4 linked regions of the Callithrix jacchus genome follow. The protein of the gene in region 1 binds, or shares a complex with, the protein of each later gene. Links are inferred from orthologs where the notes say so. Each region holds a gene or a part of one and is shown in the gene's direction. Other genes may lie near its edges. The genes, in order: MAPK14, NOD2, AKAP13 and TAB1.

What was found.
Region 2: MAPK14 (region 1) and NOD2 share a complex: the UniProt entries of both Homo sapiens proteins name them as parts of the signaling complex. The link is inferred for Callithrix jacchus from reciprocal best matches to the Homo sapiens genes MAPK14 and NOD2.
Region 3: MAPK14 (region 1) and AKAP13 share a complex: the UniProt entries of both Homo sapiens proteins name them as parts of the signaling complex. The link is inferred for Callithrix jacchus from reciprocal best matches to the Homo sapiens genes MAPK14 and AKAP13.
Region 4: the proteins of MAPK14 (region 1) and TAB1 are in contact, whole or in part, in a crystal structure (PDB 4LOP), measured with the Mus musculus proteins. The link is inferred for Callithrix jacchus from reciprocal best matches to the Homo sapiens genes MAPK14 and TAB1. Residues at the interface, in NP_036081.1 of Mus musculus: Gly110, Ala111, Asn115, Ile116, Cys119, Gln120, Lys121, Leu122, Thr123, Asp124, Asp125, His126, Phe129, Val158, Asn159, Glu160, Asp161, Cys162, Leu217, Thr218, Gly219, Arg220, Thr221, Leu222, Asn272, Val273, Phe274, Ile275, Gly276, Ala277; in NP_079885.2 of Mus musculus: Val385, Tyr386, Pro387, Val388, Ser389, Val390, Pro391, Tyr392, Leu405, Ser406, Leu407, Val408, Met409, Pro410.

What each region holds. Positions count from the first base shown.
Region 1 is NC_133505.1:44,389,534-44,393,396, forward strand, and holds part of MAPK14 (mitogen-activated protein kinase 14), read left to right. Parts: intron 1-865; coding exon 866-980; intron 981-1,564; coding exon 1,565-1,636; intron 1,637-3,863. UniProt on the Homo sapiens protein: Serine/threonine kinase which acts as an essential component of the MAP kinase signal transduction pathway.
Region 2 is NC_133521.1:8,618,004-8,622,564, forward strand, and holds the start of NOD2 (nucleotide-binding oligomerization domain-containing protein 2), read left to right. Parts: upstream 1-1,753; 5' UTR 1,754-1,816; intron 1,817-4,561. UniProt on the Homo sapiens protein: Pattern recognition receptor (PRR) that detects bacterial peptidoglycan fragments and other danger signals and plays an important role in gastrointestinal immunity.
Region 3 is NC_133507.1:29,704,276-29,708,138, forward strand, and holds part of AKAP13 (A-kinase anchor protein 13), read left to right. Parts: intron 1-266; coding exon 267-3,432; intron 3,433-3,863. UniProt on the Homo sapiens protein: Scaffold protein that plays an important role in assembling signaling complexes downstream of several types of G protein-coupled receptors.
Region 4 is NC_133502.1:210,212,537-210,216,399, forward strand, and holds part of TAB1 (TGF-beta-activated kinase 1 and MAP3K7-binding protein 1), read left to right. Parts: intron 1-1,410; coding exon 1,411-1,547; intron 1,548-1,928; coding exon 1,929-2,082; intron 2,083-3,216; coding exon 3,217-3,303; intron 3,304-3,840; coding exon 3,841-3,863. UniProt on the Homo sapiens protein: Key adapter protein that plays an essential role in JNK and NF-kappa-B activation and proinflammatory cytokines production in response to stimulation with TLRs and cytokines.

The sequences.
Region 1 (3,863 bases):
TGGAAGTGCAGTGGTTTGATCTCAGCTCACGGCAACCTCCACCTACCGAGTTCAAGTGATTCTCCTGCCTCAGCTTCCCGAGTAGCTGGGACTACAGGGGCATGCCACCACGCCTAGCTAATTTTGTATTTTTAGTAGAGACAGGGTTTCACCATGTTGGCCAGGATGGTCTCCATCTCCTGACCTTGTGATCCACCCTCCTTGGCCTCCCAAAGTGCTGGGATTGCAGGCATAAGTCACCGCTCCTGGCCAAGAACATTTCTGTTACTTTAAAAAGTCTGTTGTGCTCCTTCCTAGTCAATCCCCACCCTTCCACCCCTAATTCTCGCTCAAAGCAACTATGGATCTGCTTCTAACACTATGATTCGTTTTATCTTTTCTGGAGTTTCATGTACATGGAATCATATAGTGTGTATTTTTGTGTATCTAGCCTTTGCTTAGTGTAATGATTCTGTATTGTTGTGTCAATGTTTTTTTCCTTTTTATTGCTAATAGTATTTTGTTTTATGAACATGTCAGGATTTTTAAATCTGTCCACCTGCTGATGGACATTTGCTTTAGTTTGACTATGAGGCTATGTAAAGCAACTGTGAATATTCATGTGCAAACCTTTGTATGGCCATAAGTTCTCATTGCGCTTGATTAAATACCAAGGAGTGACATTTTTGTTTTGCTTTTTGTAATTCAGTTTTTTGAGTTTTCACTGTAAGTTTACCATGCACTCTAAGCATGGACCAGGAAATCTCTTTATAAAAGTGCTATCTTGTTTTCCTTTTTAAAAAGGCAACAGAGTTGTTGTTGTTGTTGTTTTCCCCTGCCTGTTTATAAGTCTTAACAGTTTGTCTGTTCCTCTTCTGCCCTTTAGATCCTGGATTTTGGACTGGCTCGGCACACAGATGATGAAATGACAGGCTACGTGGCCACTAGGTGGTATAGGGCTCCTGAGATCATGCTGAACTGGATGCATTACAACCAGACAGGTATTACTTGCACTGGTTATTTAGGGCCTTATTTAATTCTATGTTGGATGCATTTGGGATTCTCAGAAGTAGAGATTATGGGAGGGGAGAGAAATATCTTTTCTTTCCTCAGTGATCCTTTTAAAGCCTACAGGTGAAAACATTTCACTTGCTCAGATGGGGAATTGGGGTTTTATATACAGCTTTTAAAGCTCGTGATTTAGCAACTGGGTTTTTATTTATTTAGATTTTGAATTTATTCTCTGAGTATTTATACCTGAAGACAAAGAGTCCATAATTTTAACCCCTCAATATTACTTGGAAGAATCTACCATTCTTTTGCTCCTTTTTTGAACAGCTTATTTCTCCTTTTTTTTTTTTTTTTTATTTCTCTTAAGTATGTTTTGACTTACCCCACCTTTGAACAGCCCTTTAGTGGGGTAAAGATCAAGCTCATTTATTTCTGTAAAAATGAGAATGATTGTTGAGGCTCAGAGGTTTTAAATAGTAATTTGAGTATTTCACTCCTAGTTATGGTTTTATTTGTTGCCAAGTATAATAACAGTGACATCACATGTACTTTTATTTCTCTTTAATATTGCCAGTTGATATTTGGTCAGTGGGATGCATAATGGCCGAGCTGTTGACTGGAAGAACATTGTTTCCTGGCACAGACCGTATCCTTTAAAAAGTTTTGGATTCTTGTTTCTTATTTGTATTCTGGTGTCCATGGATGTATACTCCTTTTACTTATCTCTAGGGAAGGCTCTCAGTTTTTTGCTTTTATAGTCCAGATAATATGTTATGAGGTCTCCCTTCTTACTGAGTAGCTTGCCCTGCCAAGAAAGAGGCTTCAGTTTACTTTCATGAGTTGGAAAAAATTCCTCCTAAGCTGAAAAACCCTTCAAATCTGTCATCTTTTTGCAACAAACCCTTATTAATCATCCCACAGTGGTTCTGAGACCTGAGCATACTCATGAAAAGCTCTGGATCCCAATGACAGGTTTAGTTTACTTGTATAAACACTTAATGAGTACAAGATACCCATTTATAATTAAAGGGTGTCTTGCTATTATGTTTGTTTTATGTATCAAAAAGGCTATGTTTGGTACCTGCAATGATATATTGTTTATTTGTTATGTTTGTTTTTTGACAACAAATAGTAAAAGCAAGAAGTGACAAGGTTACCCTGTCATGTGCTTTTTTTTTTTCCCAGCACAACTTTATCTCAGATGGCAGCCAAACCAATTAATTTACTCCCAGACTTACCGTCTAGTTTATGGTTTATTATATAGCCCCTTTATTTTAGCTCCTTTTCTATCTGCAGTATGCTTGTTTCATGGTTTAGTAATAATGTCATGAAAATGTGATTTATTGGAACTCTCATCAGTTCTACTTATGGAAGATGTTTAGGTAAGAAAGAATGTTAAAACATATGTCTAGAATTAGTTTTGGGGATTTTTTTTTTAAATATAATTGAGTTAACTAGCCTTCAAGTGGTTTTGGTTGGGCTGTTAGATATGCTACAATTACTTCCGATCTATTATGCCTAGAGATGTAAAAGCCATTTTAGTCCCTTACCTAAATAAATGGATGAGTTTATAAACCAGAATGTCAGTTCACTTTGCTCACAGTTTGGGATATACTTCTATAATGACTATGATGTCCATGATACCTACCCCTGTGTTCTGTCTTCTGCCACAGAGAATGTACTTTCATTATGAACTGAAAAAAACCTCTATTTCTTAGGTAAAGCTGTTTCTTTCTCTCTGAATGTTACTGGATTGATACAGACTCCCTGTACTTCAGGCTCCCTGTACTTAGCTTACCTTATTACTCCCTACCTCTGGATTTTAAGTTAGTTTAATACCTGGTATTTCTCCTTTGTCCTTTGCTTCCTTCACCTTATATCTGTTTCTTGGAAATTTGGTATGTATGTGTGTGCATATATATATGTGTGTATATATATATATATATGTGTGTGTGCGTGTATATATATATGTGTATGTACACACACACACACACACACACACACACACACACACATATTACACTCCAAGGTAAGAGAATTAGGGAAAATTTATACTTCCCCCTTTCCTCAGGTACTTATCTCAGAGTCCTATCCTTGGTTTGTCCTCTGGAATAGCTGCTATCCTGATGCTATTCCCTGTTCCCTCCTCCCTTTCCTTTTTTTGTGTCTGTATCTCCAGCTACCCATTCAGTCAGTCACAGACCTCCATGCCTGTGTAGACACAGAAGGTGGCAAAGGGAGAAAGACTGTATAGCATACAGGTTAAGCACATGCTCTGGAGCCAGACTTCCTGGGTTTAGATCTTAGCTCTTTTATTTCCAGCTATGTAACTTTGAGCAAGTTTTCTAACCTCTGTGCCTCTCAGTTTCCTTAACCATAAAATGATAATAATCATACGTACTCACAAGGTTGTTGTAAGAATTCAGCCAGATAATAACTGGAAAGTAGCCGGGCGCGGTGGCTCACGCCTGTAATCCCAGCACTTTGGGAGGCCGAGGTGGGTGGATCACGAGGTCAAGAGATCGAGACCATCCTGGTCAACATGGTGAAACCCCGTCTCTACTAAAAATACAAAAAATTAGCTGGGCATGGTGGCGTGGTGAGCCGAGATCGCGCCATTGCACTCCAGCCTGGGTAACAAGAGCGAAACTCCGCCTCAAAAAAAAAAAAAAAAATAACTGGAAAGTACTGAGACAAGCCTGCCAGTAAATGTTAGCCATCATCTTCAGTAATGACCTTTGCAAAACATTACCCCTACACCTCCCACTGTATTGTCTACCTATGAATCATTAATGGTCTTTTGTTTGTTTGTTTTGACAGGTAGGAAAGGATGGGTCCCTTGGCAGACTAGTGTTAAAAAGTTTTCAAAGCAA
Region 2 (4,561 bases), on another chromosome or scaffold:
GGAAGCAGTGTGTGTGTGGTGTGTGTTGGGAAGTGGGGTGTGTGTGTGTGTGTTGGAAGCGGTGTGTGTGTATATGTGTGTTGGGAAGCAGTGTGTGTGTGATGTGTGTTGGGAAACGGGGTGTGTGTGTGTGTGTGTGTTGGGAAGCGGTGTGTGTGTGTGTGTGTGTGTTGGAAGCGGTGTGTGTGTATATGTGTGTTGGGAAGCAGTGTGTGTGTGGTGTGTGTTGGGAAGCAGTGTGTGTGTGGTGTGTGTGTTGGGAAGCAGTGTGTGTGTGGTGTGTGTGTTGGGAAGCAGTGTGTGTGTGGTGTGTGTTGGGAAGTGGGGTGTGTGTGTGTGTGTGTTGGAAGCGGTGTGTGTGTATATGTGTGTTGGGAAGCAGTGTGTGTGTGGTGTGTGCTGGGAAGCGGTGTGTGTGTGTGTGTGTTGGAAGCGGTGTGTGTGTATATGTGTGTTGGGAAGCAGTGTGTGTGTGGTGTGTGTTGGGAAGCAGTGTGTGTGTGGTGTGTGTTGGGAAGCAGTGTGTGTGTGGTGTGTGTGTTGGGAAGCAGTGTGTGCGTGGTGTGTGTGTTGGGAAGCAGTGTGTGTGTGGTGTGTGTTGGGAAGTGGGGTGTGTGTGTGTGTGTGTGTGTTGGAAGCGGTGTGTGTGTATATGTGTGTTGGGAAGCAGTGTGTGTGTGGTGTGTGTTGGGAAGCAGTGTGTGTGTGGTGTGTGTTGGGAAGTGGGGTGTGTGTGTGTGTGTGTGTGTTGGAAGCGGTGTGTGTGTATATGTGTGTTGGGAAGCAGTGTGTGCATGGTGTGTGTGTTGGGAAGCAGTGTGTGCGTGGTGTGTGTGTTGGGAAGCAGTGTGTGTGTGGTGTGTGTTGGGAAGCGGGGTGTGTGTGTGTGTGTGTGTTGGGAAGCGGGGTGTGTGTGTGTGTGTGTTGGAAGCGGTGTGTGTGTATATGTGTGTTGGGAAGCAGTGTGTGTGTGGTGTGTGTTGGGAAGCAGTGTGTGTGTGGTGTGTGTTGGGAAGTGGGGTGTGTGTGTGTGTGTGTGTGTTGGAAGCGGTGTGTGTGTATATGTGTGTTGGGAAGCAGTGTGTGCATGGTGTGTGTGTTGGGAAGCAGTGTGTGCGTGGTGTGTGTGTTGGGAAGCAGTGTGTGTGTGGTGTGTGTTGGGAAGCGGGGTGTGTGTGTGTGTGTGTGTGTTGGGAAGCGGGGTGTGTGTGTGTGTGTGTGTTGGAAGCGGTGTGTGTGTATATGTGTGTTGGGAAGCAGTGTGTGTGTGTGTGTGTGTTGGAAGCAGTGTGTGCGTGGTGTGTGTGTTGGGAAGCAGTGTGTGTGTGGTGTGTGTTGGGAAGCGGGGTGTGTGTGTGTGTGTGTGTTGGGAAGCGGGGTGTGTGTGTGTGTGTGTGTTGGAAGCGGTGTGTGTGTATATGTGTGTTGGGAAGCAGTGTGTGCGTGGTGTGTGTGTTGGGAAGCGGGTTGTTCTGAGGACTGTCCGGTTCCCTCCTGGTTGAAATGAGGCCCAGAAAGGGAGGCCTGCTGACCAGGGCACCCAGCCAGGACCGTCCAGCCCCGCAGACAGGCCCGGCCCCTTTCCTGCGCCCTCCCTCCCTGTCCCCTGTGAGCCTCGCCAGCCCTGGAGTGGGCGCTCTCGGGGCTGCGTGGCCTGGGACTGGAGCGGGTGCGGCCGTCCGGGCAGAGCAGGGGCGGGGTCCAGGCGGGGGTGGAGCCGAACGCCCGCGCAGACGGAGGCGCAGCCCAAGCCGGAGGTGGAGCCCGGAGTCGTGGCCCACAGCAGGCCTGGGAGTCCGGGCGCCGGCGGCTCGCGGTGAGTGCTGTTTCCTGGCGCGAGGCCTGTGCCTAGCGCCTGGGGGTGGGCTGCGGGAAGACTGTGGGTGTCCATGGTGCCGCCCCCAGGACTCGAACACTTGGCGTCCGTCCGAGCAGTCTAGCAGTCTTGGCTGCAGGGCTTGGAGAAGGGTTGCCTCGGTTTCTCCTGGGGGAGTCCCGGGTGTAGATGGGACATGAGAAGGAAAGGGGACATCTCCAGGTTGGGGAGGCTCCTGGCAGGAGTGGAAAGTCCTGAGGAGCCCGGGCTTCAGGTCTCTGAGGGCGCCATTCTTTTGAGTTCTTTCCTCTCTGTGGGACTCAGTTTCCTCATCTTCACCATGCCAGTGAGTGGTGTGAGAGGGTCTGCCCGGAGGATCCTACTGCTGCTGTCTGCACTTCTTAGGGGAATCTCCTGCCTCCTCCTTCTCCCTTGGTGGGTGTGAGATCTAAGTTCAAATCCATCCCTCCCCAGATAGCCCACACCAGGACCTGTGTGGCCACATCCCCCGGCTGTTTGCTCTCTGCTTCTCAAGTTGACGGAGCAGCTGTCTGGTCCTGCTTACATTCCAATGAACTGAAAAGCCCTCCACCCAATAGCCCTGCGGAGGGCCTCCTGAAGCTGCATGAGGGTTGGAGGCTGGACCCCCGCTTCCAAGTTTGCTTTTTCTGAGCCCTTGGGCTTCTTGCCATGGCCTTGGTTTTCCCATGGGCTGTGACTTGGCCTCCTCCAAGGTCCTTGTTCTACAGAGGGGGATCGCCTGCCCTGTCACCCTCCCCAACCCCTTAGTGAAGAAGACCAGAGTGACATCCTCACTGCCTGTACTTGCCTGTCCCAATCACTCAGCCATGGGGTTGCTGCAGCCCTTGAATTTGGCCTCGCAAGGTCCCTCTGCCTCTCTGCACCCTGGGATCAAGGCTGGAAGCATCCTCATCCAGCCCACCTCCCTCCAACCCAGTTCAGAAGCCCTCTGCAACACATGCCTGGTGGTGGGGAGCTTATTACTGATGAGGTGGCTTTTCAGTGTCTTACGGCTCTTGTTTCCTTTACCTAAAATCTGTGGCTTACAGATTTTGCACTTGGTTCCACATCTGTCTCCTGGAGCCATGCAGAGCACATCCATTCTTTCACCCATTCCAGCAGTCATCATTCATGCACTGAATGAGATGTGAGACTGAGCAATGGGGAAATCAGATTAAACTCCCTGCCCTCATGGAGTGCACATTCTGGAAAGGAATGGACAGCAATGAAAGAGGTAAATCTGTGGCATGGCAGGCAGTGGGAAGTGCTACGAGTAAAACAAAGCGGGGAAGCAGGATGGGGTGCTGGGGCTGGGTATTGCATTGTATATAGCACAGTTAGGGAAGGCTTCCCCAAGACCACGACAGCTGGGCAGTCATCAGGAGGCAAGGGCGAGCCTTGTGAGTATCTGTGCGGGCGGGTGGGGGGGCTTTGGCTTTTACTCTGAGCGCGGTGGGAGCCCTGGTTTGGAGCTGAGAAGTCACCTGCTCTGACTTGGGGTCTGGCAGGCCCATCCAGCTGTGGGGTGGAGAATGGATAGTGATGGGTGGACTAAGGGCAAAAGGAGAGCCTGGTGAGAGGATCAGTACATTGTTCCGGGGAGAGACCAAAGTGGCTTACACCATGGCCCACAGGTGGTTAAAAAAAATAGAAAAAAACCCCAGACCTTCAGATTTGGGATATATTTCAAAGGCTATGTCAATAGGATTTGGGGTGCAAGAGAAAGGTAGAATCAAGGATGATTCTGAGTTTTTGGCTCAAGCTTCTGGAGGTTTGAAGCTGCCGTGAACTGCAATGGGAGTTGCGACGGGGGAGATCAGGAGTTTGGTTTTGTGCTTGTCGTGTGAGCTGTCCATTAGGCACCAACGATGATTAAGCAGTTGGGAAAAGTTAAGGGCGGAGGTTGGAGTTGGAAATGAAACTGTGGGCATCGTCACCCTATAGCTGGTATTTAAAGCCGCAAGAGCAGGTGGCTTCATCTAGGAAGGGAGCACTATGGAGAAGAGAAGGGGTCCAGCCATTGAGCGCTGGGGCCCCCGGTGTTAGGAACCAGCCAGGAAGACAGAAAGAGTGAAAATGAGAGAGTTGGGGTGCCCCAAGGGGGAAGGAGGGAGCAATTATGACCAATGCCCCTGGTGGAGCAATTATGACCAATGCCCCTGGCAGAGCAAGCAGGCTGAGGGCTTAGGATTGAGCAATGGGAGGTCACTGGTGACCATGATCAAAACAGTCTGACTGGAGCTGGATGGGGAACTTGGGGGATGAGAAGGGATGGGAGGATTTGGGGACAGCAGTGCAGGCACAGACAAGGGGGCCTGCTATAAAGGAGGCAGAGAAATGGGATTGGAGCCAAATGAAGAAGAGGGGCGTCAAGAGAGGGCCTTACTTTTACAATGGAGGATTAGAGTGCATTGTTCACTGGTGGGGGAACTGGTCTTTTAAGGAGAGAAGCTCAGTGCTGGGGAGGGAGAATGGAGGATGGCTGTGGGAGGGTGTGGGGCTTGGCCCCAGCAGAGTCCCAGAAGGCTTGGGAAGTTGAGCTTCCTTGAGTTTCCCCTCCTTTTCTGTCTGCAAGGGGTCAGTGGGCTGAGATTTCAGCACTTAAGCCAAGCATTTGCTCTTGGCCCCAGAAAAACCAGGCTGGCTAAGGTCTCAGGAAGGAAGGAGGTGTCTGGGCTCAGGCCTGGGCCTGGGGTTTGGGGAGAGCCCATGCGGGTCACCCCT
Region 3 (3,863 bases), on another chromosome or scaffold:
CTTTCTAAAATGAGTTCAAAATATAGAAAATAGAAATTTCATATGTTCTAATTCATTTTGAACATCCTAATGTATAGGCAAAAATGAGAGAAGAAAGTAGTATCAGGAACGAGAGAACATTTGTATTCTCTTAGATCAGCTTATCATGTGACCTTCGAAGGGCTAGAATGGAAGTGAGTTATGTCCAACAGGATTTTTGCTCAGAGGTATCGGTGGCATCTTCTTCTATGGACAATTTTTTAAAAGTGTATTTCATTTCCTCCTAGAAAACAAACCTCAAGCAGATGGACAATCTTAAGCCCTTAATGGTGACAGCACAGGATTCTTCTGGTGCCCCACAGACAGATGGCCAGTTTCTTCCCTGTGCACCAGAGCCCATGGACAGTCAGCAACTTTCTTCTCCTGAAGAGACGGAGAGCTCTCAGTGCTGCCCAGGGAGCTCTGTTGCACAGACTGAAAGTCCCTGTGATTTGTCAAGCATAGTTGAGGAGGAGAATACAGACCGTTCCTGTAGGAAGAAAAATAAAGGCATGGAAAGAAAAGGGGAAGAGGTGGGGCCAGCACCTATTGTGGACTCTGGAACTGTGTCTGATCAAGACAGCTGCCTTCAGAGCTTGCCTGATTATGGAGTAAAGGGCACGAAACGCCGTTTGTCTTGTGGAAACAAAAACGAAGAAACTGGAACAAAATCTTCTGGAATGCCCACAGACGAGGAGTCCTTGAGCAGTGGAGATGCTGTGCTGCAAAGAGATGTGGTCATGGTGCCAGGCACAGCCCAGTATTCCTCTGCAGGTGAACTGGCAAGCATTTCAACAACAGATGTCGGTACCCCAGAGAGTGCAGGGGAAGCGGAACATGGGCTCATGAACCCAGATGCCACTGTCCAGAAGAATGTGCTTCAAGTAGGGGAGAGTACAAAGGATAATATGGGCACAGCTGGAGCCTCTGACATGCAAGTCACAAGTAAGCCTGTGGATAAAGTCAGTGTCCCAAACTGTGCCTCTGCCACCAGTTCCCTGGGTGGTAACAAACCTGCTGAATCCTCACTTGCATTTAGTAATGAGGAAACCTCCATTGAAAAAACAGCAGAAACGGAAACTTCACGAAGTTGTGAGGAGAGTGTTCATGCCCCAGTAGAACAGAATTCTGTGGTGCTTCCAGCTGCTGCAAAAGACAAGATTTCAGATGGGTTAGAACCTTGCACTGTCTTAGCAGGCATAGGTGAAGCAACGTCACCCTCAGATTTAGCCCTTCCCAGGCTGGAAGTAGATGTAATGCCACACCAGAACTCAGAAATAAATTCATCTCATGCTCAAAGCCAAAAGGGCAAATCTTCACCCATTTGTTCTACAACTGGAGATTATAAACTTTGCTCAAACTCCGCGTGTCAACAGAACACAGTGACTTCTAGTGGCGAGTTGGTTGCACAACTGTGTGATAATATAGTTAGCCAGCCCAAAAGCACCACAGCAAGGCAACCCAACTCACAAGATCCACCCAAGGCCACCCACTGTGAAGACCCACAGGCTAATACAATCACCTCTGACCCGGTAAGGGATACCCAGGAACGTGTGGATTTTTGTCCTTTCAAAGTGGTGGATAACGAAGGCCAAGGAAAAGATGTGAAATTCGATAAATCTTTAGCAAATATGCTTGAGGTGCCTTCACATCCACATCCAGTTGTCCCTAAAATGGAGAAAGAACTGGTGCCAGACCAGGCAGTAATATCAGACAGTACTTTCTTTCTGGCCAACAGTCCAGGCAGTGAATCAGTAACCAGGGATGACGCACTTTCTTTTGTCCCCTCCCAGAAAGAAAAGGGAACAGCAACTCCTGCGCTACATGAGGCTACAGATTGTAGAGATGGCCCAGACGGAGATGCGAATGATCCTGATACGCAGCCACTAGAAGACAGGGCAGCAGGCCTGTCCCCATGCTCCACTGTTGCAGAGCTTCAGCTCGTGATGGGGAATACCAGTCTCACCAGACTTGGTGGAGAACATGAGGGTCCCGCCCCTTCAGCAGCTCCGGAAGTTCTGAGTATCAAGGGGGACACAGACTCCTCCCTGCAAAATGCGGGTAAGGCCACTTTGGCTTTAGATTCAGTTTTGACTGAAGAAGGAAAAATTCTGGTGGTTTCAGAAAGCTCTGGAGCTCAGGAACAAGATAAGGATAAAGCAGTGACCTCTTCCTCCATTATGGAAAATGCTCTTTCTTCAGGAACATTGCAGGAGGAGCAGGGAACACCATCTCCTGAACAAGAGACTCCACGATTTCATGAAAAATCTATCTCAGCCGCCTCTGCCAAGGACGAAGCACTTCAGCTAAGCAATTCACCGGGTGCACCCTCTGCCTATCTTAAGGCAGAAACTGAACATAACAAGGAAGTGGCCCCACAAGTCTCACTGCTAACTCAAGGTTGGGCTTTCCAGAGCCTGGTGCTACCAGGAACAAGTCTGGGTACAAACTCAAGGCAGGAAGCCTTGGGTGCAGAGCAGAACAGCTCCACTCTGTTGCAGTGTCTGTTGCCAGATGGGTGTGATTGGTCTGAGGCTCTTAATTACAGTCAGCCTTCTCCTCTGGATGACGAAGTGAAGAACACTAAATGCCAGGGAAAACCTAATATTAGTTCCTGTGAGGTGAGTGGAAATGTGACCATGGATATTACAGGGTTTAATGATGTACAAGATACAGCTGAGCCCAGAAGAAAGAGTGTGTCACACAACACCCAAGACATCCTGATTCCAAACGTCTCGTCGAGCCAAGAGAAGAAGGTCATCCTGGGTTTGCCAGTAGCTTTACAAGACAAAGCTGTGACTGACCCACAGGGATTTGGAACCCCAGAGATGGTACCTCTTGATTGGGTGAAAGGGAAGCTGGAGGGAGCAGACCACAGCTGTAACACGGGCGACTCTGAGGAAGCCCGAATAGACAATGAAGCACATCCTGTCCTACTGCAGCCTGCTGCCAAGGAGCTCCCCACAAAAATGGGGCTCTCAGCCCATCATGATGGGACCCCAGCTGGCAAGAGGGAAGTTATGCGAGGCCCGCCTTCAGACAGGGGAAGGAGCACTCCCTCTCTACCTTGCTTGGTCTCTGCCCAAGCTGCACCTTTGCCTAAGGGAGTGGACTTGATAGAGGAGGCTGCCAGCCGTATAGTGGATGCCGTCATCCAAGGAGTCAAGGCCGCTGGAGCACTGCTTACTGAGGAGAAGGCCTGTCACGTGTCAGCGTCCAGCGCTGAGTTGGATCCTCTCACTGAAGGGCTAGAGAATGCTTCTACAGAAAAAGTGAGTGCTTTCTCGCCTGGGGAGAGCCTGCCAGTGGGCAGTACTCATGAGGAAGCCACGGGGAGCCTTGGAGGCTGTTTTGCTGGAGGGGAGGAGCCAGAGAAGATTATTCTACCTGTGCGAGGGCCTGAGGCAGCAACAGGTAAGCAAAACAGAATACAAAATTAACAGTCTGAGAAGCCGATTACCTTAAGAATCTCTGTGGTGTCCTGGTAAAAATACAGGCATCTAGGCCGGGCGCAGTGGCTCAAGCCTGTAATCCCAGCACTTTGGGAGGCCGAGGCGGGTGGATCACGAGGTTGGCAGATCGAGACCATCCTGGTCAACATGGTGAAACCCCGTCTCTACTAAAAATTACAAAAAATTGGCTGGGCACGGTGGCGTGTGCCTGTAATCCCAGCTACTCAGGAGGCTGAGGCAGGAGAATTGCCTGAGCCCGGGGGCGGAGGTTGCAGTGAGCCGAGATCGCACCATTGCACTCCAGCCTGGGTAACAAGAGCGAAACTCCGTCTCAAAAAAAAAAAAAAAAAAAAAAAAAGCATCTTTGTTGTCTTGATGTCTTATAGCCATTGG
Region 4 (3,863 bases), on another chromosome or scaffold:
TAGCTGGGATTACAGGCATTTGCCACCACGCCTGGCTTTTTTTTTGTTTTTAGTAGAGACAGATGGGATTTCACCAAGTTGGCCAGGCTGGTCTCAAATTCCTGACACCAAATGGTCTCCCCTCCTCAGCTTCCCAAAGTGCCGGGGTTGCAGGTGTGAGCCACTGCACCCAGCCAATACAAATTTTATCTTCCTTGAAATTGCTGTGGTTCTCCCAGTTATTCCAGTTTGCTCTAGTTCCGCATGATGGTCTTGGGAGTGCCCTTGTAAACAGGGCACACTTCTCAGGTGGGAGGCCAGATCTAGGGCAAGAAATGGCACCTGGGCCTTGCATCAAAGTTGTTCCTGGGCCTTAAAAAAATACAGATGCTCAGGGTGTACCGTAGGGAGATTGGGAAATTCAGCATTTGTGTTTGGGCCGGGGTCGGGGCCTGGACCCTGTGAGTGTGTTTAAAGCTGTGCATTGATTATGCTGAACAGCCTGGTTTGAGATCCTCTACGGTGGAGTGGGTGTTGCAAACAGACTAGGGTGCTGTAATCAGGGTACAGTCGGGGTACATGAGAGGGCCATCAGCCAGTCCTGGGGAGGGTCATCCTGAAGGAAGACCACCTGGAGGTGGTGACTCCTGAGCCAGAGAGTCCCGAAGGACCTGGAGAATTGTGAGGCAAGGAGGAGGGTGTTCACGTGGAGGCAAAGAGCAGGGGATGGACAGGCCTGCAGGCATTTGGGACTGGGGGAGAAGGATGTGGCAGGGGAGATGGGAGGGGATGTCGGGGTGGCCTGAGGATGTCTTACAAACTAGCTCATAAACTCCGACTTATAAGCCAGTCTCAGTCACTCTCCCTGGCACTTGGAGGCCCCAGTGTCAGAGAGAGTGACAAGTCAGAGTTTCTCTAGGGTGAGTCTTAGGTCACCTGAAAGCATCACTCGTGGGGAGCGGCCTGTACTTCAGATGTCCTGGGTCCTGCCCAGATCAGTCATTCTGAGGGTGGGGCCTGCAGCCTGCAGTTTCAACCAGTGCCCAAGGGATTCCTTTGCAGTGTGCATTTGGAGCCAGTGCAGTAAGAGGTGCAGGCCCCAAAGAGTTTCCTGTCAAGAGTTTGAGACCTTTGTATGTGTTTCACTAGGTTTCATAACAGCTCACTCCTGGAGGCCATTGCTGCACCTTGCCTTTGGAATGCTGGAGTCTTTCCGTTTTCCTGGGGAACTAGTTTGTAGACTAGCCATAAAAACAGCAAACCCTTCTGCAGGTGTCTGTTCATACAAACATCTTTGTTTTCCCAAGGGAAGTGGAACCCTCTGTGTAGGGCTGCCGGCCTGCTAGGTTTTTGTTGCAGAAGAAAAAGATGAAGTGGGATCTACGCTGCAGAAGCAGTGGTGCCTCACGGCTTCCTGGTGTCCTTCCCCAGGAGCAGCAGCCAAGCTGGACAGACGACCTTCCGCTCTGCCACCTCTCTGGGGTTGGCTCAGCCTCCAACCGAAGCTACTCTGCTGATGGCAAGGGCACTGAGAGCCACCCGCCAGAGGACAGCTGGCTCAAGTTCAGGTGTGTGTGCCAGCATTTTGGTCCTGGACCCAGGGAGTTGGTGAGTTTGCAAGGAAAGACATTGACTTTGCAGCTTTCTCATATGAGCTTGCCAGTGAGATGTGGCCTGTGGGAGGTGGCCTCTGCTGCTGCCCTTTATACTGCTGGACTTTAGACCAGCCAAGGGTTTCCTCTGATGGGGTAGTGTGAGCATGGGGAGGAGGGTATCCCAGAAGGTCATAGCCACCAGAGTGAAATGATGCCCAAAGCAGGGGGACCCAGGTCGGTGCCTGAAGCTGCAGCCGCTGTAGCTTTAGCCTCCCCCAATTCCTTTCCCTTTCTCCTTCCACCTCCGTGTGAGACCCTGGTCTTAGTCCTCCCTCTGCCCTCTCCCACTGCCAGGAGTGAGAACAACTGCTTCCTGTATGGGGTCTTCAACGGCTACGATGGCAACCGGGTGACCAACTTCGTGGCCCAGCGGCTGTCCGCGGAGCTCCTCCTGGGCCAGCTGAATGTTGAGCATGCTGAGGCCGACGTGCGGCGCGTGCTGCTGCAGGTAATGGTGCTGGGGCTGGCAGTAACCTGGCTCCATCGTGTCCCCCACCCCCAGGGCCTGGGCCCTGCACGTCTAGCACGTTGCCAGGGTTGGTGTAAAGATCCTGCCGGCCCCTTCACCGTGATAGAGAAGCAGCTCCCGGCATAGGGGCCCCTTCTCTAGGAGTCCAGGACCAGCCAGCAAGCAGCAGGCCTTCAGTGGCTAGCAGAGCTGACAGGGGAGGTACTGCTGGAGACGGGGGGATTTAGGGATGTGAGCATGGAGAGAGGTGTCAAGTAGGAGCAGGGCAAGGCCTGGTCGGAATGGGGTCATTCGGAGCTACCCATTTCTTTCTCATGTAGCCAGGTGCTCAGCCTCCAGGTGCAGGAAGCATATCTGGGCATTCAGGGAAGACCTTGCCTCCCCTTTTTGATGGGGTGCTGCCATCATTCGCTGGTTCCACCTTTCTGCTTGCACTGTTGGGAATTTTCCTCCTGGCATCTCCTTTCAGGAGCATGTCTCAGGCCCATTTTAGATGAGAAGATGGGCTTCTGTTCCCAGAGAACAGTGGTGCCAGCCTTTTCCTCCCCTTCATGGCCTCAGGCTCCATGGCCAGTGATTGTCAGCAGATCTCACACCCAGGGGGAGTTGTCAGTGTCACCAGTGTCCCAGGGCCAGCAGAGTTTGACAGAAGCCTCCCAGGAAGAAGTCGTAGTAATCATGGGAGCTGTCATAGTCCTGGCAGTTTCTCTGAGCAGGTGCCATGCTGAGTGCCAGGCTGGACTTACCCTCGGAACAACACTTAACCTCTGTTGTGTGAGACTGAGGTGTCCAGAGGTCACACCAGCTGGGCCTACTCCAAGCCTTTGCTCTTAGCCTCCGCACTGTCTGCTGCCTCCAAGCCCTCTGAGTGCCGCCTCTGTTGGCTACGCACCCCTATGGGGCTGAAGGGCTTTGTCAAAGACACGGATCTGCAAGAAGCAGCCAGTGCCTTGCAGTGCCGGGCTGGAGGCAAAACCGACATGCGGAAAGCCCCATCACAGGAGGACCTGCAGTGAATACAGTGAAGCTGTTGCTGTTCTTCATAGGGGGCATTTTAGCACCAGTGACAGTGGTGTTTTGAACCAGTCTTTGCCCTGTCCTGTGTCCCTCCAGGCCTTCGATGTGGTAGAGAGGAGCTTCCTGGAGTCCATTGACGATGCCTTGGCTGAGAAGGCAAGCCTCCAGTCGCAACTGCCAGAGGTAATTTCCCCAGCCCACACCCAGGGGAGTCAAGTCCAGGCCCAGCTTTGCAAGAAGCATGGACTTAGCTACTTTGTCTTGACATTACTGGGCCAGAGCAGCAGGAGTTAGGGAGCAGTTTCTCATGGGGAACACTGGTGGGTGGCCACAGGTGAGGGACCTTACCACCCTGCTATGGGCAGCTGCACACTAAAGCTCAGCATTGGCTGGGCAGTGGTGGGCATGAGGAAAGCTTTTCGCAGTCCTTTGACCTGAATGGGTCCCCACCCTTGTCACCCACCTGCTCACATCGCCCGCCCACTGGCATCTGTAGCGCTGACCTCTGTGCTGTGAGTCAGGTCATCTCCGGCTTTCCTGGAAGAACTTTCCCTGGATGGAGTTGCAGCGCTGGCTTCATCCTGGCTGTGCCATGGACTGTCTGTCTATCTGTCCTCCAGGCCCTCAGATCTTTGCCCTTAAGAGCAAAGGGAGGGAGAGGGCTGGGAAGATGGTCCAGATGGTTCTTTCCTGCCCTGACCCCTCTGTTGACGGTTGTAGGGGGTCCCTCAGCACCAGCTGCC